Linked DNA regions of Anolis sagrei. The protein of the gene in region 4 interacts with the protein of the main gene of each other region in a pairwise test. Links are inferred from orthologs where the notes say so. Each region holds a gene or a part of one and is shown on either strand. Other genes may lie near its edges.

Region 1 (7,406 bases), on a different chromosome or scaffold from region 4:
CATTACTGCAGCTGGCACTTATTTGATTCCTAATGTTTACAGCTTGGCCGTGTTTACAGCAATTTACTGCCATGGTTAGAGGACCGCAGTTTGACTGAGTCTGAGTTGATGTTTTTATATGTGCATGTGTTTTATTTTACTGTGTTTTATATTGTGCTCACACTTTTATGTTTTGTTTTTAGGCACTTTGTGCTTCCTGTACCATCTCCCCAAAGTCCCTTTGGGGAGATGGTAGCGGGATATAAGAATAAAGTTGTTCTGGTTGTTATTTTTGGTGATAAAGCTTCAGTGGAGACAACTTTTCCCCATGACAAGAGTGGATATCCCTTCGTATGGATAGATTTCTCCACTTCCTGTTGTCTCAACCCCAATTGTAACTATGAGTCGTATATAAGTCGGATGTTTCTAACTTGGAGATTGTATATCCTGTAATTCTAAGGCACATCCCATTTTTAGATCTGTTTATATAGGGGGGAAAGTGCTTTTTAGTATTGAAGAAATACAGCGTTACACTCTTACCCAAAGGGACGAGAATGAATAAATCTTACATATCAGGGTCCCATCCCCCCCCCCCCCCCCCCAAAATACAGGCAAGACAAATCTGGAGCATCAGGAAATGTTTTTCTCCCTGTTGTTCCATAAAAGTGCTATTTGTGCCAGTAAGATAGCACAGTTTGGCACCAACTCTTAACTGATTTGTTATCCTGCTGCTTTCACTATACTCCAAAATGAGTCCCAAAACTCAGCATAGCCCAGGCATGGGCAAATTTGGGCCCTCCTTTTTTTCCCCCAGCCACTTAAGTTGAGGGGGAAAGGAGGGCCCAAATCTGCCCATGCCCAGGCTATGCTGAGTTTTGGGCTCAAGCAGCTGAGAGGGAAAAGGAAAGGGCCTGAGGCTGTTAGAAATAGTGGGAATCGTAGTCCAAACCCCCTGGAGGGCCCAAGAGTGCCCATGCCTGGCATAGCTATCTTTCTTGATCCCTCCAATGTGGTCCTATAGGAAAAGGTGACTTCACTCCCAAACTACCTTCCGCATCAGATCCTACTGGCTCACTCTAAACCACCATATAATCCTGTTTCTGAATTGAGATTATCTGCTTTGAACTGAATTATATATACGAGTTAATACTGCCATATAATCCACTCCAAAGTAGATAATCTGGATTCAGAAACTGGGTTATATGGAAGTAGAGGTGGTCCAAGGCCCCTACTATACAGCTGAATAAAATCCCACATTATCAGCTTTGAATTGGGTTATATGTCAGTGTGGACTCAGGGCCCTTCCACACAGCCCTATACCCCAGAATATCAAGGCAGAAAATCCCACAATATCTGAGTGCAGACTGAGATAATGCAGTTCAAAGTAGATATCGTAGAGTTTTCTGCCTTGATATTCTGGGTTACAGGGCTGTGTGGAAGGGCCCTCAGATAACCCAGTTCCAAAGTAGATTTTGTGGGATGTTCTGCCTTGATATGGCTGTGTGGAAGAGCCCTCTGATAACCCAGTTCCAAAGTAGATTTTGTGGGGTTTTCTGCCTTGATATTCTGGGTTATATGGCTGTGTGGAAGGGCCCTCTGATAACCCAGCTGAAAGCAGATCTTGTGGGATTTTCTGCCTTGATATTCTGGGTTACATGGCTGTGTGGAAGGGTCCTGAGTGTTGAACTTCCATCGGTTTCCACAGGCTCAGCAAATACAAATTCACAAACTATTCAACTCACAACCCTCTAAGGATGCCTGCCATGGATGTGGGCGAAACGTCAGGAGAGAATGCTTCTGGAACATGGCCATACAGGCCGGAAAACTCACAGCAACCCAACTATTCGACTGCTATGAAGCCATCAAAGCACAGAAATATATACAGGGTGACGGGGGGGGGGGGATATCCCAGAATATCAAGGCAGAAAATCCCACATTATCTGAGTGTGGACTCAGATAACCCAGTTCAAAGCAGCTACTGTGGCATTTCCTGCCTTGATATTCTGGGATACATATAGGGCTGTGTGGAAGGGCGCCGGACGACGCGACAAAAAGTTTCACAAACTCCCCTTCGCCATGAAAAAGACGAAGCAGATCAAGCGGTGTCAATACGCATTCATGCTACAGTGTAGAGGCGCACCCTTTTCAAAGCCTGTGCTTTGGATTCCCACCCTTTTCCCCTGGATCTAAATCGGATTCTAATAGGGAAAGAATGTGCTGGATGCGTTATCGATTACCGGGCGTCCTTCTTGTTGTTGTTTCCCTACAAGGAAGGCGATGGCAGGGAGGGAGGGAAACAAAAGTTTCCCGAAAGTTAAGGCTGGAAGGGAAGAAGGAAGGAAGGGAAGGAAAGAGCCAGGCGCCTCTGTTGTTGTTTCCCTCCCTCCCTGCCATCGCCTTCCTTGTAGGGAAACAACAACAGAGGCGCCTGGCTCTTTCCTTCCCTTCCTTCCTTCTTCCCTTCCAGCCTTAACTTTCGGGAGCGGCGTTGCGCAATCGCTCTCCTCCCGAGCTGCGCGAGCCACAGAGACGCCCCCGAAAGCGCCCTCCAACTTTCCCCACAGGAAGGGTACCTCTTCCTCGGTCAGGCTGGGCTCCGGCGGAGTGGGCTCCTGCTCGCCTTTCGCGCTGTTCATGGTCTCCTCCTCTCCCTCTCCTCCTTCTCCTGGGCTGGGGCACTCGCCCTGGCCGCCCGCAGCTCTTCCAGCCGCATACAGGGGCTGCTCCGGGGAGGAAGCGGGGCGGCGAAGGCAGCGAGATAAGACCTCCGTCTCCCTCTGAGGCGAAGAAGGAATGAGCTGAGGGGAAGAAGAGAGGAGAGAGGAGGGCGCGCGCAGCCCCCCACCCCACCCTGTCTCCGCGCGCGCCCGGCTCTGATTGGCGGAGAGGCGGCGCCCTCGACGGCGCGAGAAAGGAGGGCAGGGAAGCGCGAGACCCCCCGCCGCGGCACGTGAGGGGAGGAGGCGGCGCCAAAGCTCAACCGTCGAGGCTTCCACTGCCTTGGCCTGCTGGCTACCCTCTCTTGCCCCTGCCAAGCTTGACAGGCGTCTGCACGTCTACACAATAAAGCAGCACGATCTCCAGAAGACGCTTCCTTCTTGGGAGGAGAGCAATGTCCAGTCTCCATAAAATAGTAAAGAGTAGAGACATCAGACTGGCAACAAAGATCCGCCTAGTCAAAGCCATGGTATTCCCTGTAGTAACCTACGGATGTGAGAGCTGGACCTTAGGGAAGGCTGAGCGAAGGAAGATCGATGCTTTTGAGCTGTGGTGCTGGAGGAAAGTGCTGAGAGTGCCTTGGACTGTGAGAAGATCCAACCAGTCCATACTTCAAGAAATAAAGCCTGACTGCTCACTGGAGGGAAGGATACTAGAGACAAAGCTGAAGTACTTTGGCCACATCATGAGGAAACAGCAAAGCCTAGAGAAGGGAATGATGCTGGGGAAAGTGGAAGGCAAAAGGAAGAGAGGCCGACCAAGGGCAAGGTGGATGGATGGCATCCTTGAAGTGACTGGACTGACCTTGAAGGAGCTGGGGGTGGTGATGGCGGACAGGGAGCTCTGGCGTGGGCTGGTCCATGAGGTCACGAAGAGTCGGAGACGACTGAACGAATGAACAACAACATCTCCATTCCCATTCATTCATGCCATGTGCGGTGGCGCAGTGGGTTAAACCCCTGTGCCGGCAGGACTGAAGACAGACAGTTCGCAGGTTCAAATCCGGGGAGAGGCGGATGAGCTCCCTCTATCAGCTCCAGCTCCTCATACGGGGACATGAGAGAAGACTCCCACAAGGATGATAAAAACATCAAATCATCCAGGCGTCCCCTGGGCAACGTCCTTGCAGATGGCCAATTCTCTCACACCAGAAGCAACTTGCAGTTTCTCAACCTGCTCCTGACACGACAAAAAGAAAAAAATGCCATGTGCGGGCTTGACGAATGCAAGGCTGGGGTTAAAACTGCTGGAAGAAACATTAACAACCTTAGATATGCAGATGATACCTCTTTCATGGCTGAAAGCGAGGAGGAGCTGAGGAGCCTTCTAATCAAGGTGAAAGAAGAAAGCGCAAAAGCTGGGTTGCAGCTAAACGTAAAAAAACCAAGATTATGGCAACAAGAATGATTGACAACTGGGAAATAACTGAAGACCTGGTTGTTTGAGCAGGCATTTGAATAGGCAGTGTAACGAACATAGGAATATGGAACAAATGAATGATGAGACTGGATCTTGATTTTTATTATGAGATGCTAATGAGATGTTTTATTTATTTATATTGACTGTTTATTATGCTACTGTTTTTAATTGTTTTTAACTGATTTATGATGGTTAGTAGGGAGAGAGGGGAAAGCTTTCATACCTAGTGAGGGCTCCAGGGGTCCTGGGGCCATCCCTTTGCACAGCTCTGGCAAAGGCAGGACATCCTTCCTTCATGGCGGTCACTGTAGGATCCTGTTTTCTCTTCCTGGGGCCTCTCCTGTGATGGCCTTCCCCAGCCTCAAGGGGGGGCTGTCTCTTCTGGGTGGCTGGAGGTCTGGTCCTGCCCTTCTGGGATCCTCCTGTGCCATCTGAGTTCCAGCTGCCACATGAGAAAACCCGCAGAGCTCCCGCAGACTCACCACCCAGGTAGCTGTCCACAGTGGCAGGAGTGGATTATGGATCCTGGATCCAGTCTGATCTGATGTCCCTTGTCAGGTGGTCTTCTGGTTCATTTCAGCTGTGCCGGGAGGTCCCCTGGACCCTACAGTGCCCTTCTCATATTTAAAGGCAGTTAGAGGGGCCATTAAAAGATTCACACACATGCATTTGGGGAGGGGAGGGAGATGGACCAGGAAAGAAGAAAAGGGTTGTTGAGGGACTGTGCAGAGTGAAAGAGAGAGAGAGAGAGAGAGCCTTAGCTATAGGGGCAAGACAGGATTTTGACTGTCTATGTTATAAGGAGCAATGGGGATGCTGGGGGCCCCCTTGGCAGGGGGAAGAGAGGGGAAGAGAAAGTTGAGGCACTTTTAGCCTAGGAAAACATGAAGCGGAGGGAAAAGATATGAACGCATGGAAATGTTTTGTGGAACATGATTTTCAGAGAGGGAGAAAGGATAATCCAGGGGGCGTAAATCATTCCCAGACACCCCAAGAGGTGTGTTTGGCGGAGGAAAAACAGAAAATCTAGGATGAAATTGTCCCTGAATTAAAGCCTTCACTTGGGTGGTGGGCAGTGTGGTGTTTGTGGAGGACATTGGCAGGGCTCTTTGGACATGTTTATGGCAATCGCTATAACCTGCAATGTCAGTGAGGGAGGGTCTTTGGTGTTCGCTTCATAGGTGGGGGTTATAGCTGTTGATGGAGGCGGGAGCCTGTCTGTGAAAGTGGGCACCCCAGCCTCATACATACAGATTTTCACTTTTATTATGTGTATTGATAATGATTGATAGATAGATATAGATATATATTGATATATATTGATATGAGACTATGGTCTTTACAACTCAATTATATGCGATACATGGACCGTCCAAGCTTGTAGCCAAGGGGGCAGTTTAGGGATTCAACACCCTCCCTGAAATTTGTCAGATCAAAAATAAAACAAAACACTGGTTTGCTCATGAATTTTTACTGGTTAACTAAATCCCCATGCCAAGCCTATGAGAAGCAACAATTAGAGTTCCTCCAGAGCTACAAGCACTCTCTCAACCAAATTTAGATGATTCACACTATCATTGCCTGCCTTTCTACCAATTTACATTGCAATAGCAGTAATAGCTGACATAGTGGAAGCTGCCAAAATGTGGTAGCCAGCAGGCAAAGCCTAAGGCACGGGACAGGGAGGAGGATTTGACCTGGATTGCAGGTAAAAACTGTGGAAACTGAAGAGTACCATCAGAAAAACTTGTGCTTGGCTGAAAATGTCTTGCTAATTCACGGTAAAATATCTTGACGTAAACCGTCATCACGACAAAGGAAATAAGAAGAAAGCAGAAAAAAAAAACAGAAAAAAACTTCTGCCAATTTTGGAAACTATTGTCCTTTGTGACCGACAAGAGGGAGAAAGATTCAGGACCTATTACCTGTGAAGTCCCCAGTGGTGCAGTGAGTTAAACCCTTGTGCTGGCAGGACTGAAGATCAACAGGTCGCAGGTTCAAATCTGGGGAGAGCACTCATGAGCTCCCTCCGTCAGCTCCAGCTCCCCATGCGGGGTCATGACAGAAGCCTCCCACAAGGATGATAAAAACATCAGAACATCCAGGCGTCTCCTGGGCAATGTCCTTACAGACGGCCAATTCTCTCACACCAGAAGCAACTTGCAGTTTCTCAGGTCGCTCCTGACACGAAAAAGAAGAAGAAGAAAACCATGAAGAACCTTTGCATAATGATGGTAATTTCAGAGCCTTTTTAAAATCTACCAGATCAGTTGATACTGATCTGAAAAGTCATGTGGGCAGGGTGGGAGGGGGGAGTTTCAACTCCTCCCGAAAGCTATCTGCAAACATCACTCTTGACTTCTAGAATATTGCCTCAGCTTTGCCTCCAAAAAATCCTGCAAATCTCTTGGGAAGATGGATGTACAAACATCAGTATTCTGGAAGAAGCAAAGACCACCAGCATTGAAGCCATGATCCTTCGCCATCAAATTTGCTGGACCGACCACATTGTCTGAATCCCCGATCACCGTCTCTCAAGGCTGCTACTTTACTCTTAGTTTCAGAACGTAAACGGAATGTCAGGTAGATAGCAAAAGAGATTTGAAGATGGGCTTAAAGATGACCTTTAAAATTTGGTATAAACACTGAATCTGGGAAGCTTTGGCTCTTGAACGTCTAACTGGAGGTCAGCTGTAACTAACAGTGCTGTGGAATTTGAAGGGGCACGAATGGAGGGCGAAAGGAAGAAACGTGTCAAAAGGAAGGCATGTCAAGCCAACCCCTGTTGGGACTGCCTTCTATCTGGAAATGTATGTCCTCAATTTGAAAGACCATGCGAAACCAGTCACTTCCTTCCCAGTCTAAACTTTTGGGAAATTCAAGTGAGTTTATTGCAGAGGAGAAGCTATATATGGAGAGAGATCCCTAAAACCATTCCTGGGGTGCATCTGGCAGAATTCATGCACTTTAACACCACTCTAACTACCAGTGTACAATTGTATGGAATCTTGGGAACTGTAGTTCTACAAGGAGCTTTAGCCTTCTATGCTGGAGAGTACTGCTGCCTCACAAACTACACTTTCCAGGATTCAATAGCATTGAGCCATGAAAACTTAAAGTGGTATCAAACTGCATTAATTCTACAGTGTAGATTCAGCGCTAGTCTCATATCTTTTTCCCATGACAAGATTTCCTCTTTCATTACTGTTTTGCCACCCCCAGTTCTATTTAAACGTTTAAGCTTGGTAACCTTATCTTAATAGTTTTCAGGAGGAAAGAAATATCACACC
Region 2 (7,837 bases), on a different chromosome or scaffold from region 4:
AGGTTCCTGGACCATCTGAACAGCATCCACCCAAACATATGGTTCAGAGATGTGGATGACACCTTCACCATTTGGAGTCATGGAGAAGAAGAACTCAACAGGTTCCTGGACCATCTGAACAGCATCCACCCAAACATATGGTTCAGAGATGTGGATGACACCTTCACCATTTGGAGCCATGGAGAAGAAGAACTCAACAGGTTCCTGGACCATCTGAACAGCATCCACCCAAACATATGGTTCAGAGATGTGGATGACACCTTCACCATTTGGAGCCATGGAGAAGAAGAACTCAACAGGTTCCTGGACCATCTGAACAGCATCCACCCAAACATATGGTTCAGAGATGTGGATGACACCTTCACCATTTGGAGGCATGGAGGAGAAGAACTCAACAGGTTCCTGGACCATCTGAACAGCATCCACCCAAACATATGGTTCAGAGATGTGGATGACACCTTCACCATTTGGAGCCATGGAGAAGAAGAACTCAACAGGTTCCTGGACCATCTGAACAGCATCCACCCAAACATATGGTTCAGAGATGTGGATGACACCTTCACCATTTGGAGTCATGGAGAAGAAGAACTCAACAGGTTCCTGGACCATCTGAACAGCATCCACCCAAACATATGGTTCAGAGATGTGGATGACACCTTCACCATTTGGAGTCATGGAGAAGAAGAACTCAACAGGTTCCTGGACCATCTGAACAGCATCCACCCAAACATATGGTTCAGAGATGTGGATGACACCTTCACCATTTGGAGTCATGGAGAAGAAGAACTCAACAGGTTCCTGGACCATCTCAACAGCATCCACCCAAACATCCAGTTCACCATGGAAAAAGAAAATGGAGGAAGACGGCCTTTTCTAGATGTCCTAGTCATCCGCAAACCAGATCAACAATTGGGTCACACCGTTTACAGAAAACCCACACACACAGATAGAGATCTACACAAAAACTCCAACCATCACCCAAGTCAACAAAGAAGCCCCATTAAAGCCTTGGCAGATTCTGCCAAGAAGAATCTGTGAAGCCCACCTCCTCCAAGATGAACTGAACCACCTCAGATGGGCTCTCCAGGCCAAGCGAGACTCCACCTCAGACATCAGAAGAGCTGCAAGGCCACCGAGAAGAAGCCACGAGAGTCAAGACAGAGACCCACCCAGAGGGAAAGTGTTCCTGCCAGACATCAAGGGAACCACTGACCGCAGAGGGAAGCTGATGAGGAAACACAACCTACAAACCATCTCCAGACCCACCAAGAACATCCAACCAATGCTCCGTTCAGCAAAGGACAAGAGGGATCCTCTCACCTCTGCAGGAGTCTACCATGTACCATGCAGCTGTGGACAAGAAGTCTCCAGAGGGACCACCAAACGCAGCAGCATTGCCCAACATACACATCAAGGAACATGAAAAGCACTGCAGACTACGTCAACCAGAGAAGTCAGCCATAGCAGAGCACCTGAGGAACCAACCTGGACACAGCAGATTATTGGAGAACACAGAAATGCTGGAGCACACCAACAACCACCATGTCAGACTACACAGAGAAGCCATTGAAATCCACAAGCATGTGGACAATTTCAACAAAATCTGGCTCCCAGTATTAAAAAAAACTCTAAAATTAGAATAGCAAAACTACAGAGAGGAAACAAACAAGGACATCTAATCACCTCTCAAGAAAAGATTGCCCCAGGCACCGCCAGACCTTCAAATGCTAATCGAGGTGGTCAGTTGAAACATTCACCCCTAGCTCCAGCAGACAAGAGTCCTTTGTCCCACCCTGGTCACCATTCCACAGATATATAAATCCTTTTTCCTCGTTCCAACAGACCTCACTACCTCTGAGGATGCTTGCCATAGATGCAGGCGAAACGTCAGGAGAAAATGCCTCTAGAACATGGCCATATACAACCTACAACAACCCAGTGATTCCAGCCATGAAAGCCTTCGACATTGTTTGCAAATGCCGGCCTCGTTTTGGTGGAACAGGATGGATGGGGCTGTAGGCATGAAGGATCAGAACTTGTTGGATTGATTCGGGTTGTCTTCTACTCGGAGCGGAACCTCTTTGAGTGTCCTCTTCTGCCCTCGAAGGAGATGGAGATCTATATTTTGAGAGAGCGCGTGGACGTGCCCTTGGGGAACCCGAGGCGCCCGGGGTCCGTCCCCAAAGCCACGGCCAGACCTTACCTTGCTGAAGGCGTAGGCCGCCTTTTCTTCGGCCAAGAATTCCACAAGGGAGGCCGATCTCTGGAAGTTCTGCCTCATCTTGCTGAAGCCGTAGAGGTTGAGCTGTCGGATGAAGCTCTTCATGCAATCCGTTTCGAAAATGCGCAGGGGACCCTTCCTCTCCAGGACCTCTTTCTTGAAGAGCTCCTCGTCGATCACGACGCACGTCCCGTCCTCGTCCCACCACAGGGACTTGAAGTGCTCGCTCTCCACAATCTTCCAGAGCTTTTTGGGGAAGGTGAGGGAGAGGAAGTCGCTGTCCTCGAGAGAGCCGTCGTCGCAGAGGGAGAGCCGGGGTCTCTTTGGCCAGGGAGCGTCGCTCAGCGCTTGGAAGGCATTCTCCTCGATCATGGACCTCAAGGCCGAGTCGCCAGCCGCCGTCTTGTCGTGCAGCGGAGTCGAGGAAAGGGAGATGGCGGAGTGGATCCTGTCCTCTTCGGCTTGGCCAGGAGGAAGGTCCAGGTCCTGGTCGCCCTTGTCGCTCAGGTAGCTCTTCTCAGCTGCAGCCATGGGCGCTCTGAGTCCAGCCTTGCCAAGAAGGCAGCATCAGGCCTACTAAAAAGGAGGACAGCCTGCCAGGAGCTGGAGCTACAATCAAGAGTTCCAGAACGTCACAATCAGACCCATCCTGTGTCGGTGTGACATCACAAAACGAACTCTGGTTTCCTAGCAAATGAAGCCATAATGAGGGGAACATCACTGGGAACATCACTCGGCGCACCCTCACTCAACCAAGGAGGCTCTGAGGGTCAAGCATTGGCTTCTTCAAACAATGGTCCAGACCCATTGCATTTGAAATCGAACTCGAGGCATGAGGAAGTGACCAATCCTGCTCATGTTATTGGTTACGAAATGAGTCTTAATAATAGTAATAATAATAACACTTTATTTGTACCCCGCTACCATCTCCCCAAGGGACTCGGTGCGGCTTACATGAGGCCAATAATAATAATAATAACAACAACAACAACAACAACACTTTATTTGTACCCCGCTACCATCTCCCCAAGGGACTCGGTGCAGCTTACATGAGGCCAATAATAATAATAATAATAATAATAATAATAATAATAATAATAATCTTCATTTGTACCCCACTACCATCTCCCCAAGGGACTCGGTGCGGCTTACATGAGGCCAATAATAATAATAATAATAATAATAACAACAACAACAACAACAACACTTTATTTTACCATCTCCCCAAGGGACTCGGTGCGGCTTACATTAGGCCAATAATAATAATAATAATAATAATCTTTATTTGTACCCCGCTACCTTCTCCCCAAGGGACTTGGTGTGGCTTACATGAGGCCGTACCCGAATACAACAATACAAGCAATAACAACAGTACAAGCAATTAAAAATAAAATAAAAACATAGGCAATAAACATACAACATTACCAATAAGACAACATACAATTAAAACTGGGAAGGCCAAGTGTAAAATTAAAATTGGAAATAATGCTGGAACATGGGCGAAAAGGTGATAGTGGCGTTTGTGGAAGACATACGAGCAGATCTAAAAATGTAAAGTGCTTTGGAGGGACAAAGTGCTATGGGATCATTATTCCGGGAAGGCACACTGGAACATCCACATCTTCAAGTTCCTCCTTTCGACTTGGGGCATGCCTGATGTCCTTAGGAAGTGAGTTCCAGAGTCGAGGGGCCACCACCGAAAAGGCCCTATCCCTCATCCCCACCAATCACGCTTGCGATGGAGGTGGGATCGTAAGTAGAGCCTCTCCAGATGAACGAAGAGATACGTGTGGGTTCGTACACAGAGATGCAGTCGCGTAGGTAGGCGGGTCCCAAACCGTTCAGGGATTTGTAGGTGAGCACCTGCACCTTGAATTGGGTCCGGAAAATGAATGGCAGCCAATGGAGCTCCTTAAACAGGAGGGTTGACCGCTCCCTGTAAGGAGCACCAGTTAACAACCTGGCCACCTCCCACTGGACCAGTTGAAATTTCCAGTCCGTTTTCAAGGGCAGCCCCATGTAGAGTGCAAAGAAAGGGAAAGAAAGAAGGAGGGAAGGAAGGAGAAAAAACAAAAAGGAAGGAAAGGAGGAGGGAAGGAAGGAAGGGGAAAAAAAGAAAAGGAAGGAAAGAGAGAGGAAGGAAGGAAGGAAGGAAGGAAGGAAGGAAGGAAGGAAGGAAGGAAGGAAGGAAGGAAGGAAAGAAAGAAAGAAAGAAAGAAAGGAGGAGGGAAGGAAGGAGAGAAAGAAAAGAAAGCGGGAGGGAAGGTTGGCCACAGCAACCTGTGGCAGGTCCAGCTAGTGTGAGAAATAACATGGACACCCAACTTCAAAGCCTTTGAAGAGACCTTTTCATGGGCTCCCAGAGTTGTGGCACAACCTGTTTTCCTTCTTCACTTCAGTAAGTGCTGTGCCAATATATTGTAGATCCAAGCATGGCACAGTGTTTTGACTGAATTTGAACACTGTCATTTGGAACCCAAGGATGACAGGGAATGCATTTCCCATTTTCCTGCCAAACAGATAGATATTCCAACCAGCGAAACTCCATCATGAATTGTAAGTATATTCCCAATAAACGAAAGCATTGCAAGACGTACTCGGGAACAAAGAAGGGTCGGCTCATCAAGGATTCCAGGAGGATACTTTTTATTCAACAGCCAAAAGTGGGGGGATGAGAAACAGGTATTATTACCCAGGGTTTTGCACTTTAACAAAAGTGGGAAACCATCCCCTCCTCCTCCTTCCCCTCTCGACAATACAAAGAATGTGGCCGTTTACACAATAATTTACATACCTTTATCCAGGCAATTGGATCCCTTAAGAGGGGAGGAACTTCCAAGTCCTACCTGCGGACATGTTTCGAAGACGGCGCTCCTAGTTCCGTGCGAGGAGGACAAGGCAAGCATGCGGGTGGGACATCACATGGCTGTGCGACGCCAACAGAAACAGATGAACACAAAGCACGTCATTCACAATCGATGATGCACTTCACGCAGCCTTTTAAAAATACTTTTGCATATTTATACTGTACAGACTCTTAAAAATATATTACATTGCCAAAGGTTCATATAAATACTATACAGGCAAGCGTGAATCCAAGGTTCCCAAAGAGGAGCCCTCCTCGTCCGCCGAAATCCAGTCCAGAGTGACATGTGCATGAAGGCCACTGGTTTCAGCCGGTCTTGCCCACATGGAACTGTGGACACAGATGAGAAGAAAGGAAACGGTGACATGGGACAAAAGTTCCACCAATTCTGATCAGGACCTTGACACGCCTGAGCCTGAGCTTACATGTCGCCTTCTCATTGATTTTCCTGCCATGGTAACAGAAATGACCTGAAGACAAATCTCCGTGATCTCCACGTTACAAGCCACTGAGGCACACACCACGATTCATAACAAAAGAAAGGCATGAGATAAAAACGCGCTGGCCGCTGGTTCCCGGTCGTTTCCACAACGGGAAGAGTCCACGCAGGCGCCTCCGAGGGGACACTTAGTCGGGCATGTCGATGTTGAGCTTGGGAGGCGGGATGACGTACTTCCCAGGACTCTGCGTAATAACCACCCCCGTCTTTTTCCGAAACATCGGAGCGATTTTGGGAGGTTCGGGGATGGGCGTCTCTTCCGCCTCGTCGTTGTCTTCGTGGTGCAGGTCGTAGGAAATGTTGCCGTACTCTCGGAGGAAGGGGAAGATTTCCAGGAGGAATTGGCAGAAGTCCTTGCGGATTCCAAACCACCCTGCGCCGCGTTTCCAAAACAAGAAAAAGGGGGAGGTCATTGAGAGTGTCAATCCACAGAAAAAAGTGGCCAACCCCACAATGCCTTGCAACCCCACATAGGGAAAAAACACGTCCAATTGTCTCCTGCATGTGTCACCAGTTGGGGACCCCCCCCCCCATCACCACCATCTTGTCTCTTGTGCTATGCTAATCTATATATATATAAATGTTCTGTGCATAATGAGTTCCCTAAAAACAAAAGAACCAATAAACAAAATCCCACCAAATTTGGCAACAAAACGTCTCACAACACAAGGAGTGACCATCACTCAAAAAATTAGGATTTTGTCATTTGGGAGTTGTAGTTGCTGGGATTTATAGTTCACCTATAATCAAAGAGCATTCTGGACTCCACCAACAATGGAATGGAACCAAACTTGGGACACAGGACTCCCATGACCAACAGAAAATACTGGAAAGGTTCGGAGGGCATTGACCTTGAGTTTGGGCATTGTATCACCTATCTCCAGTGAGCACTGTGGACTCAAACAATGATGGATCTGGACCAAACTTAGCACTAATACTCAATATGCCCAAAAATAAACACAGATGGAGTTTGGGGGAAATAAACCTTGACATTTGGGAGTTGTAGTTGCTGGGATTTATAGTTCACCTATAATCAAAGAGCATTCTGGACTCTACCAACGATGGAATTGAACCAAATTTGGCACACAGAACTCCCATGACCAACAGAAAACACTAGAAGGGTTTGGTAGGCATTGACCTTGAGTTTTGGAGTTGTAGTTCACCTACATCTAGAGAGCACTGTGGACTCAAACAATGATGGATCTGGACCAAACTTGGCACGAATACTCAATATGCCCAAATATAAACACAGATGGAGTTTGGGGGAAATAGACCTTGACATTTGGGAGTTGTAGTTGTAGTTGGGATTTATAGTTCACCTACAATCACAGGTCATTCTGAACCCGCCAGACGATAGAATTGGGCCAAACCTCCCACACAGAACCCCCATGACCACCAGAGTGGGCCACAGCAACACGTGGCAGGGGATGGCTAGTAATCTATATAAATAAAACTGTAATGTTCATTTGTGGGATTAACAGAACTCAAAAACCACTGGACGAATTGACACCAAATTTGGACACAAGACACCTAACAACCCAATGTATGTCCTTCACTCATAAAAACACTGAAAAAAAACAGCAGAAGGGACTTAAAAAGCCCCAAAAAGCTAAATGACGAAAAGCTAAATGACAATACAAAAAAAGGGAAGAAAGAGGGAGGGAAGGGGAGGAAAAAACAAAGAAAGAAAGAAAAGAAAGAGGGAGGGAAGGAACGAATGAAGGAAAGGGAGAAGGAAGAAAGGAGAGAAAGAGGGAAGGAAAGAAAAAAGGGAAAGAAGGAAGGAAAGAGGGAGCGAAGGAAGGGGGAAGATGTAGGGAAAGAGGGAGGGAAAGAAAGAAGGAAAGGGAGGAGGAAGCATGGAAGCAGAGAGAAGGAAGGAAAGAGGTAGAGAAGGAAGAAAGAAGAGAAAGAGGGAGGGAAAGAAGAAGGAGGAAGGAAGGAAAGAGATAGAGAAGGAAGGAGAGAAGGAAAGAAAAAAGGGAAAGAAGGAAGGAAAGAGGGAGCGAAGGAAGGGGGAAGATGTAGAGAAAGAGGGGGGAAGTAAAGAAGTAAAGAGAAGGAAGAAAAGAGAGGCAGCAGAAGAGAAAGAAAAGTGGGGAGGAAGGAAAGAGATAGAGAAGGAAGGAAGAAGGAAAGACGGGAAGGAAGGAAAGAAAGAGGAAGTGAAGGAAGGAGAAAGAAGGAGAGAAAGAGGGAAGGTTGGCCACAGTAACGCGTGGTGGGTACAGCTAATACAATATATAATAAA
Region 3 (7,321 bases), on a different chromosome or scaffold from region 4:
TAGCCAAGCAAAGCAATAATGTGACCCACACATTCTTGTGAAATGTCGATTATGCTTGAAATTTCTCTCTGAGTGAATCGTCCTGAATCAATCTGTCAACCTTTTGCTTGGGAAACTCGGTGGTTGCTGTCACAGGACGTCCAGCTCTTTGTCACGCAAGTCAGATGTTCCTCTCAACATCTTTAAACTTACTCGCCCAATGACACACAGTACTCACATCAACACAATCACCATGAACAGCTTGCATTCTCTGATGAATCTCCTTTGGGGTGACATCTTCTGCTGTCAAGAATTCAATGACTGCACGTTGCTTAAGTTGCATTGACCAATCATCTGTGCAGGGTTCCATACTTTGCACTTTAACAACACAAACGTTCAATGCTAAGGCTTCCCGCCAAAATGGAACTGTGGAGGAGAGTCTACTGAACAAGCCAGGACCTGCCACATACCAGTACTGCCATCTGTTGAGGAATTATGAAGATGGAGGCATCTAACCCTCATATTTAAGCAGTGCTTCTTGTAGGTCGGGAAACGATCCGGGGTAACTCCCAGGTATTTTGGTGTGCTGCAATGCTCCAGTGGGATTCCTTCCCAGATCATCCTCAGAATTCAAGATGCTTGTCTGTTCTTAAGGTGAAAAGCACATGTCTGTGTTTTAGATGGATTAGGAATCAGCCATTTCCCCCTGTAATAGGCAGTAAGAGCACCTAAAGCTTCAGAGAGCTTCTGTTCAAGCATTTCCAAGCTCCCTGCTTGGGTGGTGATGGCATGATTGTCAGCATAGATGAAACTCTCTGTCCCTTCTGGCAATGACTGATCATTTGTGTCAATGTTAAACATTGATGGAGTGAGCACGCTTCCCTGAGGCAGGCCGTTCTTCTGTTTTCGCCATCTGCTTCTCTGGCCCTGGAATTCAAGAAAAAAGTTCATGTTTTGTAGCAGATTTCCTATGAAGCGGGTGAGGTGGTAGTCCTTTGTGATAGTGTAAGTTTTTCTCAGGAGAAGACGATGATTTACAGTGTCACAAGCTGCTGACAATGTAGATGAAACTAACTGTCCATTCTGGCAATGGCTGATCATTTGTGTCAATGTTAAACATTGATGGAGTAAGCACACTCCCATTTCAAAGCTCCCTGCTTGGGCAGTGATGGCACGATCATCAGCATAGATGAAACTCGCTGTCCCTTCTGGAAGAGGCTGGACATTTGTGTAATTTTTTTTGTCGTGTCAGGAGTGATTTGAGAAACTGCAAGTCACTTCTAGTGTGAGAGAATTGGCCGTCTGTAAGGACGTTGCCCAGGGGACGCCCGGATATTGTGATGTTTTTACCATACTTGTGGGAGGCTTTTCTTATGTCTCTGCATGAGGAGCTGGAGCTGATAGAGGGAGCTCATCCACGCTCTCCCTGGATTCAAACCTGCGATCTGTTGGTCTTCAGTCCTGCTGGCACAGGGGTTTAATCCACTGCACCACCGGGGGCTCCTCATTTGTGTAAATGTTAAACATTGATGGAGGAAGCACACTCCCATTACAAAGCTCCCTGCTTGGGCGGTGATGGCACAATCATCAGCATAGATGAAACTCCCTGTCCCTTCTGTCAGAGGCTGGACATTTGTGTCAATGTTAAACATTGATGGAGCAAGCACACTCCCATTTCAAAGCGCACTGCATGGGCGGTGATGGCACGATCATCATCATAGATGAAATTCTCTGTCCCTTCTGGCAGTGGCTGGTCATTTGTGTAGATGTTGAACATGGATGGAGCGAGCACGCTCCCCTGAGGCAGGCCGTTCTTCTGTTTCCGCCATCTGCTTCTCTGGCCCTGGAACTCAACAAAAAAGCTCCTGTTTTGTAGCAGGTTTCCTATGAGGCGGGTGAGGTGGTAGTCCTTTGTGATATTATACATTTTTCTCAGGAGGAGGCGGTGGTTCACAGTATCATAAGCCGCTGACAGGTCTATGAAGACAGCTCCTGTGGTCTGCTGCTTTTCCAAGCCATCTTCTATGTGCCGAGTCAGGTTCAGCACTTGCGATGTGCAGCTTTTGCCTTTCCTGAAGCCAGCTTGCTGTGGGATCAGACAGGGGTCTATTTTTTCCATAATTCTATGCAGAATAAGTCTCTCCAGAACTTTGTAGAGGTGGCACAGCAGGGAGTTTGGTCTGTAGCTTTTTGGATCATTACGGTCTTTGCCTGGCTTCAGGATGGCAATGACTCTTGCTTTCCTCCAGATTTTGGGGATCTGACAGGATGCAGTGCAGTTGTTCATCAGCTCCAGTAACCAGCACTTTGCTTTTGGGCCAAAGTTCTTGATTTGTTCCATTTGTAGATCATCCAAGCCAGCTGCTTTGCCATTCTTACATTTATTGAGAGCCATGTCCAATTCAGTAGATGTAAAGGGTTCGTGAAGGTTGTTGTTCTCAATCTCTTGTTGTCTGGCTATTGGTTTCTTTCCTACTTTGGTGGCAAGGTTGGGTTTCCCGTTCTTCAAGAGTTGGTGTGCTATCTGATCTGCCTTTATGTTGGCATGGGTATTAGTTTGTGAGGGGTCGTTGCTCAGCCATCTTAGCAACCTCCACGCCTTCTGGCTGCTCCTGCCCATGTCGACCTCTGTGATCAGATTGATCCAATGTTCTTTCTTGGCTTCAGAGATGGAGGACACAATGTTCTGCACTGCCTGAAGAGTCTGCTCACTAAATGGGCCTTCGAAGTGGAGTCTGTAATAGTTTTCCAACAAGGCAGCTGTTTCAGGAGTAATGCCTGAAGGTAGTTGGTTCTGCAGCCTCTCGGTATCGAGGCCCGTGAGCAGGTTTTCCCGATTTCAATAAAATGCTCGTATTCCTCAGGGATTGGCGCGGCCGATGTGATCATGTCATCTAACATGTCTGAGAATTTAGTCCAATCTGCCTTTCTGAAGTTGTATCTTTGTTTAAATCGAACTTCCTGAGGCCTTATTGTTGGGAACAGTTGGCATATTATTGGTCGGTGCTGTGTGTTTGGAATTGGTGGTCCCACTGATTTAGTGCAGTGCTGTACAATGCTGTCGCTCACAAATAAGAGGTCTGGGCAGGGGCGGCTCGTCCATTACGCGAAGTAAGCGGTCGCAGAACACTCTTTTTTTGCCAGGGGTGCAGAGGTGCCTCTGTAAATGCCCCTCGACCGCCACTTGAGGAGCGCCCCCTCAGCTCACAACAGCCCTAGCAGTCCAGGGGGAGCCTCGTCTTTCTTGCCTCGCTGTCGGGCGATCCTCTTCCCAAAGGGGCCGTGCCCTTGAGCCTTGCCTAGCCCCTCTCGTTCCTGCTCCACCCGGCCACCGGGTGCGCAAGCAGAGCCAGCACTCAGTCATTCTCCGCGTTTGATCCCTTCCCCATGACCAGCTCCCTTTCCTGATCCCCCGGCGCTCCACCCGCCTCCTCTCCCCAATCCATGGGTGGGCCAAGGGGCGGAGCCACTGCACCTGGCCCGCTTCGGGTCCGGAGGGGTGTCTGAAGACCCCAGCGTGCGCACCAAAAGTCGCCTCTTCTCCTGACTTTCTCTTCAGCCATTGGGACCAAGAGAGAGAGAGAGAGCCCCTCTGGCTGGAAGTATCTCCCACCTCCGCTCCCTCCTTTGTTTTTGCGCCTACCTTCAGGAAAGGTGGGCATCTCCACCTCTCTCTCTCTCTCTCTCTCTCGGTCCCAATGGCTGAGAAGAAAGTCAGGAGAAGAGGTGACTTTTGGTGCACACGCCGGGGTCTTCAGGCACGCCTCCGGACCCAAAGCAGGCCAGGCAAGGGAGCGAGTGTGGCAAGTGTAGTTACTGGGATGTATAGTTCACTTACAATCAAAGAGCATTCTGAACTCCACCAATGATGGAATTGAACCAAATATGGCACACAGAACTCCCACGACAAACAGAAAATATATATCAATGATTGGTTGGGGGTGGGGGGGGGCGCCAAAATACTGTTTGCTTACCGTTGAAAATTACCTAGGGCTGCCTCTGGGTCTGGGTTATAGCCTCGGTGCCATCTCCCGCTATTGTAGGATGGGGGGAGCTTGCTATCATGGATGAGTGATAGTTTGTGCAGTTCAGACCAGGAGAGGACAGCCTCTCCATTTCTGTCCTCTTGGGCATAGCCCCATACGTGGCTATGGCTGTTGAAGTCACCAATTACTACCGCCCTTTGGTGCCTATCGAAATTCTCGGGGGAGGAGAAGCAGAACTCTTCATTTGGGGGCTTGTACACAGAGGGGATGGTGAGGGAAGGAGAGGGGCGGGGACTTCAAGGGGGCGGGGCCGCAGAGGAGTGGGCGGGGCTCAGTTGGGGGTTCCGCCCCTCCCACCTCCTCCCTTCCAGCCGGGCGGGGAAGAGCTCCACCTTGGAGGGACGGAGGGAGAGGCGCGGGCAGGACGGGCCCGGTCCTCCGGCGCTGGACGGGAGGAGGAAGGCAGCGAAAGAAGGAAGGGAAGAAGGAGCCCCGAAGGAGGAGCAGGTGAGGCCAAGCGAGGGAAAGAAGAGGGGTCCAGGAAGGGGGGAGCCTTGAGGAAGGGAGGCTCTTTGTCCTGGGTGGGTGGGGGTCTCAGTCCAGCGCCCCACAAAGGACATTCATTGAGAAACAGGCGGAGGGAGAGCGGGCCAGCTCCCTCCCTCCTTTTCCTTTTCCCTTCCTTCCTTCCTTCCTTCCTTCCTTCCTTCCTTTAAAAGAGGCATGTGGTGCTTCATTGGGGGTCGTAATGCCCTTGCCCCCCCCCCCCATCCCCTCAGGAAGTCGTCCAGGGAGAAAAATCAACATCACCCCTAATCATAATAATGAACTCTACTTCCCTTGTGAGGCTGAGGGGCTCCCAACAGGACTAGGGTGTCCCAAGGCCAGCCTTTCTCAATCTGAGGGTTGGGACCCCTGCGGGGAGGGTCGTGAGGGGGGTGTCAGATGGGTCGCCCAAGACCATCAAGAAACACAGTATTTGTATTTGTTGGCCCGGGGGTTCTGGGTCGAAAGTTTGGCCCAATTCTCTCATTGGTGAGGTTCAGAATGCACCTTGATTGTTGTTGAACTGTAAATCCCAGCAACTACAGCTCCCAAACGTCAAGGTCTATCTTCCCCAAACTCCGCCAGTGTTCACGTTTGGGCATATTGAGTTTTCGTGCCAACTTTGGTCCATATCCATGCTTTGATTGTAGGTGAACTATCAATCCCAGCAACTACAGCTCCCAAATGTCAAGGTCTATTTTCCCCAAACTCCGCCAGTGGTCACGTTTGGGCATATTGAGTTTTCGTGCCAACTTTGGTCCATATCCATGCTTTGATTGTAGGTGAACTATAAATCCCAGCAACTGCAACTCCCAAACGTCAAGGTCTATTTTCCGCAAACTCCGCCAGTGTTCACGTTTGGGCATATTGAGTTTTTGTGCCAACTTTGGTCCATATCCATGCTTTGATTGTAGGTGAACTATAAATCCCAGCAACTGCAACTCCCAAATGTCAAGGTCTATTTTCCCCAAACTCTACCAGTGTTCACATTTGGGCATATCGAACACTTGTGCCAAGTTTGGTCCAGATCCATCCTTGCTGGAGTCCACAGTGCTCTCTGGATGGAGGTGAACTACAACTCCAAAACTCAAGGTCAGTGCCCACCAAACCCTTCCAGTATTTTCTGTTGTTCATGGGAGTTCTGTGTAAGATTGGTTCAATTTCATCATTGGCGGAGTTCAGAATGCTCTTTGATTGTAGGTGAACTATACATATCAGCAACTGCAACTCCCAAAAGTCAAGGTCCATTTCCCCCAAACTCCACCAGTATTCACATTTGGGCATATCGAACACTTGTGCCAAGTTTGGTCCAGATCCATCCTTGCTGGAGTCCGCAGTGCTCTCTGGATGGAGGTGAACTACAACTCCAAAACTCAAGGTCGATGGCCACCAAACCCTTCCAGTATTTTCTCTAGGTCATGGAGGTTCTGTGTACCAAGATTGGTTCAATTCCATTCTTGGTGGAGTTCAGAATGCTCTCTGATTGTAGGTGAACTATAAATCCCAGCAACTACAACTCCCAAATGTCAAGGTCTATTTTCTCCAAACTCCACCAGTGTTCACATTTGGGTATATTGAGCATTTGTGCCAAGTTGGGTCCAGATGCATCCTTGCTTGAGTCCATAGTGCTCTCTGGACGTAGGTGAACTACAACTCCAAAACTCAAGGTCGATGCCCATCAAACCCTTCCAGTATTTTCTGTTGTTCATGGGAGTTATGTGGGCCAAGATTGGTTCAATTCCATCGTTCGTGGACTTCAGAATACTATTTGATGGTAGGTGAACTATAAATCTCAGCAACTATAACTCCAAAATGACAAAATCAATCCCCCTGCAACCAGGCATGTAGCCAGGGGGGGGGCTTGGGGGGCTTCAGCCCCCCCCGAAATTTTCATGGTGGTTCGCGAAAAGGCCTTAATGGTGCATTATTTAAACTGTTATGTTTATTCATATCATGATCTGATCACCATAATCAATATATCCCATATGCATGGGGGTATTGGGGTAACGATACAAAAGGTTTGCTAGGCTAGCCCCTCTTTCACTCAGACTCAGCCCCCCCCCCCCCCGAAACTCAGCCCCCCCCGAAACCCCCCCTGAAAAAAAAATTCAGCCCCCCCCGAAACGAAATCCTGGCTACGGGCCTGCCTGCAACCCCACCAGTATTCAAATTTGGATATATCAGATATTTGTGCCAAATTTGGTCCAGTGAATGAAAATACATCCTTAATATCAGATATTTACATGACGATTCATAACAGTAGCAAAATTACAGTTATGAAGTCGCAACACAAATAATTTTATGGTTGGGCGGTCACCACAACATCAGGAACTATATTAAGGGGTCATGGCATTAGGAAAATTGAGAACCACTGCCCTAGGCTATCTGTCCTCCCCGAATGGGATGCAGCCCAGGCACAAAGCAGTGCTAAACCCAGGGCGGGGTGGGTGCCGGGGAATGACTCTGGCTTGCAATGAAACAGGAGACTAGGGGGTGAAAGGGGGGGGGGGCTCCTGTCCCACTTCCCCACATCCCTCCCCACAATGGCTGGGCCTTTAGTCCAGAGGGGCTCTTACAAGGAGGGCCTCTCCCCCCTCCACCACCCAAGTTTCCAGATGTCTAGAAGGGAGGAGGCAGCTGACTGAAGCAGACCCTTCCTTTCTCCCTTCCTTTTTTTTCTTCCTTCCCCTTTTCCTTCCTTCCTTTGTCTGCCTTCGCCTCCGTCTGTCCCGGTGACTCAGTGGAGAGGCAGCTCAGGCCAAAGGTGAGCAATACCATCCTCCTCCTGAGTCAGCAAGGATTTTGGGGGG
Region 4 (7,831 bases):
TTATCAATTCAAGTGTTGTAAATTTCAGTATATTTTTCCATATGTAATTAAGAATTCAGTTATAGAGTCAGCTCAAAAAAAGAAAAGAAAAGAAAAGAAAAGAAAAGACACCCCATGTGAAAAACATTGCTTTATCCCCTTGCTCTCACTCTGTTGCTTTTGACGAGCTTTATCGCATATAGCGGGGCGAAGCTGCAGCTTGGTCCCATCTAGAAGGGTGCAATTCCTGGCACACACCACCACACCAAGGCAGGACTTCTTGAGAATTTGGCAGTTGTGGTTGTTAGTGTTGCGCATGGCCCAGCCACTGAGGTGCCTCTGAGCATTTTTATCTTCACTGGAATAAATGAACCGCAGGTAGCCATCTGGCCACTCCTGGAAGGAATCAAAGTGCTTGGGCTCCTGGCATCAGAGATAAAGATATGAACAAAAAGAGGAGAAGAAAGTAGGCAAAGAATATAGTGACATAACATTTCAGTTTTAAAGAAGGAGACCAAATTCAATGCGGAATTCAGGTTTCACAAGATCCATAATAGAGATGTTAATTGTACAATGCAATGCCTCAATTCTCTAAGCACAAGACACAGGCTGGAACTACGTTGTATTATGTAGATCCAGCCATACAGGTAGTCTTTCCATATTAGTAATTTATCATTTGGCATCTAAGAAGCTGCTTGAGTGAACTCCACACACACATTTCTAAAGAATGCCAAGATGTATTTTAAGTTGCACATTTTTGATATATTACTTTTTAAGGCACCAGATGCCCTCTGAACTTGAAAGCTAATCATGATCAGGCCTTGTTGTTACTTGGAAGAAATGTATAGTAAAGGAATATCACAGGGATAGTAGGATGTATTTCAAAGGAATGCAACATACAATGACTTTAGAGTAATCCTTGTTTTAGAAAATCCTATAAAATTGATGTGTCTTGATGTATTATGACCCAATGAATTTCATATGGGTTTTGCCCAGTCCTTTCTCTGAAATGTAGCTCACAACATTTGGTACTTATTGGCAGTCTCCCATCCAATAGTAACCTGTGCTGACCTTGCTTAGCTTCCAAAATCAGAATGTTCTGATGACTTTAGTGCATTTAGGCCATTGGGTTCACTATACATTCACAGGCAACCTGAAGGCACATTTTCCTCAATGCCTTCTCAAGACTACTATAATTTATTTATTTATTTATTTATTTACTTTGCTTATATACCGCTGTTCTCAGCCCGGGGGCGACTCACAGATTTTACTTAAATCAACAGGAGCCCCCAGTGGTGCAATGAGTTAAACCAGGCATCCTCAAACTGCAGCCCTCCAGCTCTTTGGGCCTTCGACTCCCCTAATTCCTGACAATTGAACAAGCTCATTAGGGCTTCTGGGAGTTGGAGGCCCAAACAGCTGGAGGGGTGCAGTTTGAGGATGCCTAGGTTAAACCCTTGTGCCGACAGGACTGCTGACCGAAAAGTCGTCAGTTTGAATACGAGGAGTGAGGTGAGCTCCCATCTGTCAGCTCCAGCTTCTCATGTGGAATCATGAAGGAAACCTCCCACAGGATGGTAAAACATCCAGGCATCCCCTGGGCAATGTCCTTACAAATGGCCAAATTCTCTCACACCAGAAGCGACTTGCAGTTTCTCAAGTCACTCCTGACATGAAAAAAAAATCAAGAAATCTGTTGTGAGCTTGCAGTTGTGCAAATGTCACCATGCCGAAATGACATTTTCTTGTGAATATATTTGTGATAAGCAACATGATTTTCCAACCCTCTTTGCCAATATCCAGTTTAAAATGCTACTTTTAATAAAACAGCATTACACCTCATTCTCTCATCTTCTGGCAGGAATTGATTAATTGTCAAATACTTTAAAAACAGCAGTAAATAGAACACTCTCCTTAGATATACATGCATACATCACTATTTTTCATCTTTTTTGCTTTTGTTTTTATGGAAGAGGTGTTATGATTAAAATGATAAAAATGTAAGAAGGTCTCCATCAATAGTAATAATAATAATAATAATAATAATAATAATAATAATAACAACAACTTTATTTATACCCTATTACTATCTCCCCAAGGTGACTCGGGGTGGCTTACATGAGGCCAAGCCCAACAATTTCAACAAAGCAAATATACAACATAAAAAATACAGCAATAAAATATAATAAAATAATAATACAAAAAACAATACAGAGTAAACACACAATTCAATATAAAACCACAATAATTGGACACAATGGGCAGGGCCAGTTGCAAAGATTAAAATGTTTAAAAACACTGGGTGAGATGAGCAATGTAGTGTATCTGGAAGGATGTATACTGAATAAAATACCATTACTGCAAGTCTATGACTTGTTGGTATCATCATTTGAATGATACGAATTTAGTTTGAAACGTGCTTCATCTTGCAATGTGAAAAATAGGAATAGAGAAGCATTCTGCTTAGTTAAAGTTAATTTCATGTCTCCTGCAACGAGTTTTGAGACAAAGCATACCTTTTTCAAGAAATGCACACATTTATGAAACTGGCAATGCATTTCAGAGGAATAAAGTATGCTCAGAACTTGAGTATTACTGAGCAAAGCTGATGTTTATAGCTAAAAATGCAAAAAAAAATGAATAACAACAACAAGCACATATTAATAATTAGGGGACTAAATAGAAATGCATACATGCGTGTACCATACAAGTATAACAAAATACACATTTATATCCATTTTTAGACAGGAAAAAATATTTCTACCAGAGGCAGAACTGGTATGGGAGGAAACTTGTAAAATTCTAAAAAAATACACACAAAAAAACCACCTGAAACTGATCAATGTTTTGATAAAAAGCCCTTAGAAAACTGGCCCATAAAATCATATTGGTAGGTCACCCCCTTACTTCCAAACCTTTTGTGCTGTCCACTACCTGTGGTAACTTGGGGTCATTGATGTCCCACGTTAGCTTCATCCCAAAGGAACAGACATAGTCAGAGTTCTCAAAGTGATCCTTTGCCATGTTTCTTTATCACCTAAAGGAACAGGGTACCAGCAAAAAACGAACAAACAAATAGAACAAATATTTACTTTGCCTTTCTTACCAGGTGAGAATTACACTGTCATTTCTAGATGTCAAAATCTTAGAATATCATTTTTCTCATCAAGTGGACTATTTTTTAAACGCATCACTATGTCTGTATAAAAACTACCAATTCTAGCATAACTAAGGGCATGGAAAATTAACTTTTTTGAACCTATTCTCAAAATCTCTCCACGTGGTTCTTAAAAGTATACCTACACATTTACTCTGTGAGCATAGCATTTTTTAAATGAAGCAGAGTATCTGAGGAGGTTGAGGTTGATATGGATACCAAGGTGCTTGTTTATAAAACTCTTGTTTTTCTCCATCAACAACTTCACTGGGCCAGCCACATTGTCCAAATACCTGATCACTGTCTCCCAAAGCAATTATTTCCTCTCAGCTCAACAATGGAAAATGGAAGGTTTCTAGACAGCAAAAGAGATTTAAAGATGGGTTTAAAGCTAACCTAAAACAATGTGGAATAAGCACTGAGAACTGAGAAGCCCTATTTATGTGTTCCAGCTGCTGGTAGGCTCTTACCAGCAGTGCTGTGGATTTTGAAGAGGTACAAATAGAGAATGAAAGGGAGAAATGTGCCAAGAGCAAGGCACGTCAAGCAAACCCTTGTCATAACCATCTTCAATCTGGAAATATATGCCCTCACTGTGAAAGACCAGGTGGATCCAGAATAGGTCTCTAGATCCAATACTCTACCCCTGGAAAACAATACTGTACCCCTGGAAAACAATCGTATTCAACCTATGAGATTGTAGGGTATAGTGGTGTTAACTTGTCACATGCAGATAATATCCAATGTGTAAGGGAAAACTATGAAATTCTTGCCTGAATGGACATATATTGCAGGCATGCATGCTAATTTTGCTCACTTTTGGTACCAGCTGTAGAAATTTTGATCTCTCACATTGGTACCTTATTAGCTTAGCAAGTAGCCTTGTGAGACAGTACATAGTTACCTACGTTACAAGTAGAGAGGAGGCTGAGACAAAAGTAAATTTGCTAAGGCCAGGCTGGGGCAAAGGAATGACTGGACAATGATGAAGGTGGTCAAATGCTCACTTAGTCAGGATTATTTTAAGACAGTCATTATTAGTCACACTAATATACTTCCCAGGATAAAGGTGGGATAGGAGAGAACAGTGTAGGCAGATTTGAGATCCTTGAAAGAAAGGAAATATTTGGGTTTACCTAAACTGTAGAATGAATGCAGTTTGGAACCACTGTAGCCACCATGGCTCAATGCATTAGAATCACTAGAGTTGTAGTTTTACAAGGTCTTTAGCCTTCTCTGCCAAAGGGTGCTGGTGCCTCACCAAACGACAAATCCTAAGACTCCATAACATTGAGTCATGGCTGTTAAAATGGTGTTAAACTGCATTTATTCTATAATGTAGATGCAACCCTTGATGTAAAACATATTATAGTAGTCCAAATGCACCAGATCTTGCCTGGTGTTGGCAGCTAAGCAGTGTCAGCTCTGGTTACTACTTGGATGCGAGACTATCAAAGAATACCAGGTACTGTGGGCTCTATTTCAGAGGAAGGAACTGGACAAATCAACTCTGAGTATTCCTTGCCTAAGAAAACCCCATAAAATTATGCGGTCACCATAATTCAACAGGAGACTGAAGTTCCTAGAATCCTAGAGTTGGAAGAGACCACATGGGCCATCTAATCCAACCCCCTACCATGCAGAAAAAGCACATTCAAACTATCCCTAACAATGGCCAGTCTCCTTCTCTCCAAGGAAGGAGCTTCCACTAGATTATGAGACAGAGAGTTCCACTGTTATACACCTCTTACAGTCAGGATTTTTTTCACTAATATTTAGGTAGAATCTCCTTTCCTGTAATTTGAGCCCATCGCTCTGAGTCTAGTTTCCAGAGCAGCAGAAAATAAGCCTGTTCTCTCTTCTTTATGACATCTTTTCATATATTTATACATGGCTATCATGTCTCAACCTTCTCTTCTGTGGGCTAAACATACCCAGCTTTTTAAGATGCTCCTCATAGGGCATGGTCTCCAAACCTTTGATCATTTTAGTTGCCCTCCTCTTGACATGTTCCAGCTTGTTAATGCCTTTCTTGAATTGTGGTGCTCAGAATTGGTCACAGTATTCCAGGTGAGGTCTGGCCAAATCAGAATAGAAAGGCACCATGACTTGCCTTGATCTAGAAACAATACTCCTTTTGATGCAGTCCAACATCTCATTGGCTTTTTAAACTGCTGCATCACATTGCTTACTCATGTTCAACTTTTGGTCTACTAAGATTCCAAGATCTTTTTCACATGGACTGTTGTAGAGCCAGGTGTCACCCATCCTGTACCTGTGTATTTCATTTTTTTCTGCCTAAGTGTAGCATCCTACATTTGTCTTTGTTGAAATTCATGTTGTTAGTTTTGGCCCAGCTCTCTAATCTCTTAAGGTCGTTTCGAATTCTGATCCTGTCCTCTGGAGTACTAGCTATCCCTCCTAATTTGATATCATCTGCAAACTTGATAAGTATGCCCTCTAAACCTTCATCTAAATCATTAAGCAAATGAAAAAGCAAGAAAGAACTTGGAAGTAGCAAAGGGCACAATGGGACTTACCTTTGTAGAGAAAGCTACAAGGACTTGCTTGCTGGGCCTTATTTGTATGATTTATTCCTGGCCTCTGTCCACTGCCTTAGGTGCTGAAATCATTCAGGAGATGCTCTTTCCATCTCGCCTCTCCTTCTGGATTACGCCTGTGAGGAAAAGCACTTTTTCTGCCCCAACCTTCACCCTCCCACATACCAGATCTCCACCTTGGGAAAACCACGTGGGTAGAGATGGGAGCTCCTCCTTTCTTCATCCCTAAAAGGGAGGTGTAAGGCTTCATTCCCCCCACTCTCTGGGTACATCTGCACTTTAGAAGTTTTTTTAAAAACTTAAAAACTTAAAAAATGCTTCTTAAATGCAATCAGTTGGGAATTTTTTTTAAAGAAAACACCAAGAATAAAATGAAATCACAGGCACTAAGGTAAAAAAAAAAGGACATCAAATTCAAAAATATAATCCCTTAATGCTCCCTTTCCACAACTATCTTACCACTGTATCTTTCCTTTTAAAAATACATTATAACATTTTTAAAAACTACAACTGACATCTCCCCTCCCAAAGACAAATGTTATAATGTATTTCCATTTTACTAGTTCTATCAATTTCCAGTAAATATAAGGAATATTAAAATTAATGCATAATTCCTGCCCTGGTTCAAGTCTATGGGGTCCGGGGAGTTGTAGTCAAATCTTTACAAACTCTTTAGCTTCTCCTGTCAAAGAATGCTGTTACCTCACCAAATTATACATTATGTAACTCTGAACCCTGGTAGTTAAAGTGGTGTCAAATTACTTTAATTCTAGAGTGTAGATGCACCATGGATTGTTTCAGAGACTCCAGGTTTAAGACATGCTTTGAGCATGTACAGTTTTGCATGTTAGACTCTCTGAAATCATGACACCATCCCTTTATGTGTGTGTGTGTCTGTGCCTTCAAGTCGCCTGATGATTTACGGCAACCCCATTAACTTCCTAAGGTATTAGAAGATGCATCTACACTGTGAGATTGATGCAGTTTGACACCACTTGGCTCATGGCAGGTTATAATATTGCTAAAACACATAATCATTTAAAAATACTCTGCAAAATACACATATTAATACTAAAACATATTTCCACAAAATACACATGCAAAAATTAGACATAATGTGGAAATTTAAAAATCATCATTAAAACCATCAGGGTAGGCCTGCCAGAAGAGATAAGGCTTCACTTTTGTCTTAAATTGTGACAGCTGATCTAGCTGTCGGAGCTCTACTGACCAAGTGATATGGGTTATACAGTATTTCTGAGGAAGGAACTGGCTAAACTGCCCCTGATAATTCCTGGGCTAAGGGGGCATCTAAACTATAGAATTAATGCAGTTTTACACCAACTGCCATGGCTCAGTTCTATGGAGTCCTGGGAGGCACACTATTTCACATTCTATCCAAAATAGTTCTGGTGCCTTACCAAACTTTAACTCCCAGGGTTGCATAGCATGGAGCCATAACAGTTCAAAGTGGTGTCAAACTGCATCAATCTCAGGGAAGAAATAATAATAATAATAATAATAATAATAATAATAATAATTAATATTATTCCTTGGGGTATTCCCACTCAAGTCCTAATCAGACTGAAGCATTAAAATGAAGATTGTTTCTCTGTTGCTAGATGCTTTTCCTTGGGAAAGCACAACATTGTATTGTTGGCAGGCAAATTTTGAAGCAAAAAAAAAAAAGACCCAATTGGGTAGATGGTTCTTACGTGTTTTAGCAGGAAATATGTTATCCGTTCAAGTGAACTCCTGCAGACTTTGAAGCTGGCAGTCTGGGCCCTTCCACATGGCTAACATCTTAACTTTGAATAGGATGATATATTTAAGACTGGAAGGAAAAATCTATGAAATGATACATCTTTAATCAATAGACTTGCATGGACAGAGCCTCATTTTTAATTATGCTCTCCTAAGGGGAAACTGTGGCCCAGTCTATAAGGTAAAGGTTGTCCCCTGACATTAAGTCCAGTCATGTCTGTCTCTGGGGTGTGGTACTCATCTCCATTTCTAAGCCGAAGAGCCGGAGTTGTCCATAAACACCTCCAAGATCATGAGGCCTTGCATGGAGCGCCATTACCTTCCCGCCGGAGTGGTATCTATTGATCTACTCACATTTGCATGTTTTCAA

Evidence for each region.
Region 1: the proteins of GCM2 (region 4) and RBPMS interact in binary tests that used the Homo sapiens proteins (3 or more experiments, as listed by UniProt). The link is inferred for Anolis sagrei from reciprocal best matches to the Homo sapiens genes GCM2 and RBPMS.
Region 2: the proteins of GCM2 (region 4) and heat shock transcription factor, Y-linked-like interact in binary tests that used the Homo sapiens proteins (3 or more experiments, as listed by UniProt). The link is inferred for Anolis sagrei from reciprocal best matches to the Homo sapiens genes GCM2 and HSFY2.
Region 3: the proteins of GCM2 (region 4) and FHL3 interact in binary tests that used the Homo sapiens proteins (3 or more experiments, as listed by UniProt). The link is inferred for Anolis sagrei from reciprocal best matches to the Homo sapiens genes GCM2 and FHL3.

What each region holds. Positions count from the first base shown.
Region 1 is NC_090022.1:150,009,344-150,016,749, reverse strand, and holds the start of RBPMS (RNA-binding protein with multiple splicing), read right to left. Parts: upstream 3,020-7,406; 5' UTR 2,616-3,019; coding exon 2,553-2,615; intron 1-2,552.
Region 2 is NC_090030.1:36,551,584-36,559,420, forward strand, and holds the start of heat shock transcription factor, Y-linked-like, read right to left. Parts: upstream 3,001-7,837; 5' UTR 2,753-3,000; coding exon 2,204-2,752; intron 1-2,203. Other genes in the region: TMEM185A (transmembrane protein 185A), read right to left, coding at 5,715-5,959.
Region 3 is NC_090034.1:86,441,301-86,448,621, reverse strand, and holds the start of FHL3 (four and a half LIM domains protein 3), read left to right. Parts: upstream 1-4,315; 5' UTR 4,316-4,472; intron 4,473-7,215; exon of another isoform or gene 7,216-7,275; intron 7,276-7,321. UniProt on the Homo sapiens protein: Recruited by SOX15 to FOXK1 promoters where it acts as a transcriptional coactivator of FOXK1.
Region 4 is NC_090024.1:83,306,954-83,314,784, reverse strand, and holds the start of GCM2 (chorion-specific transcription factor GCMb), read right to left. Parts: upstream 3,004-7,831; coding exon 2,914-3,003; intron 403-2,913; coding exon 150-402; intron 1-149. UniProt on the Homo sapiens protein: Transcription factor that binds specific sequences on gene promoters and activate their transcription. Through the regulation of gene transcription, may play a role in parathyroid gland development.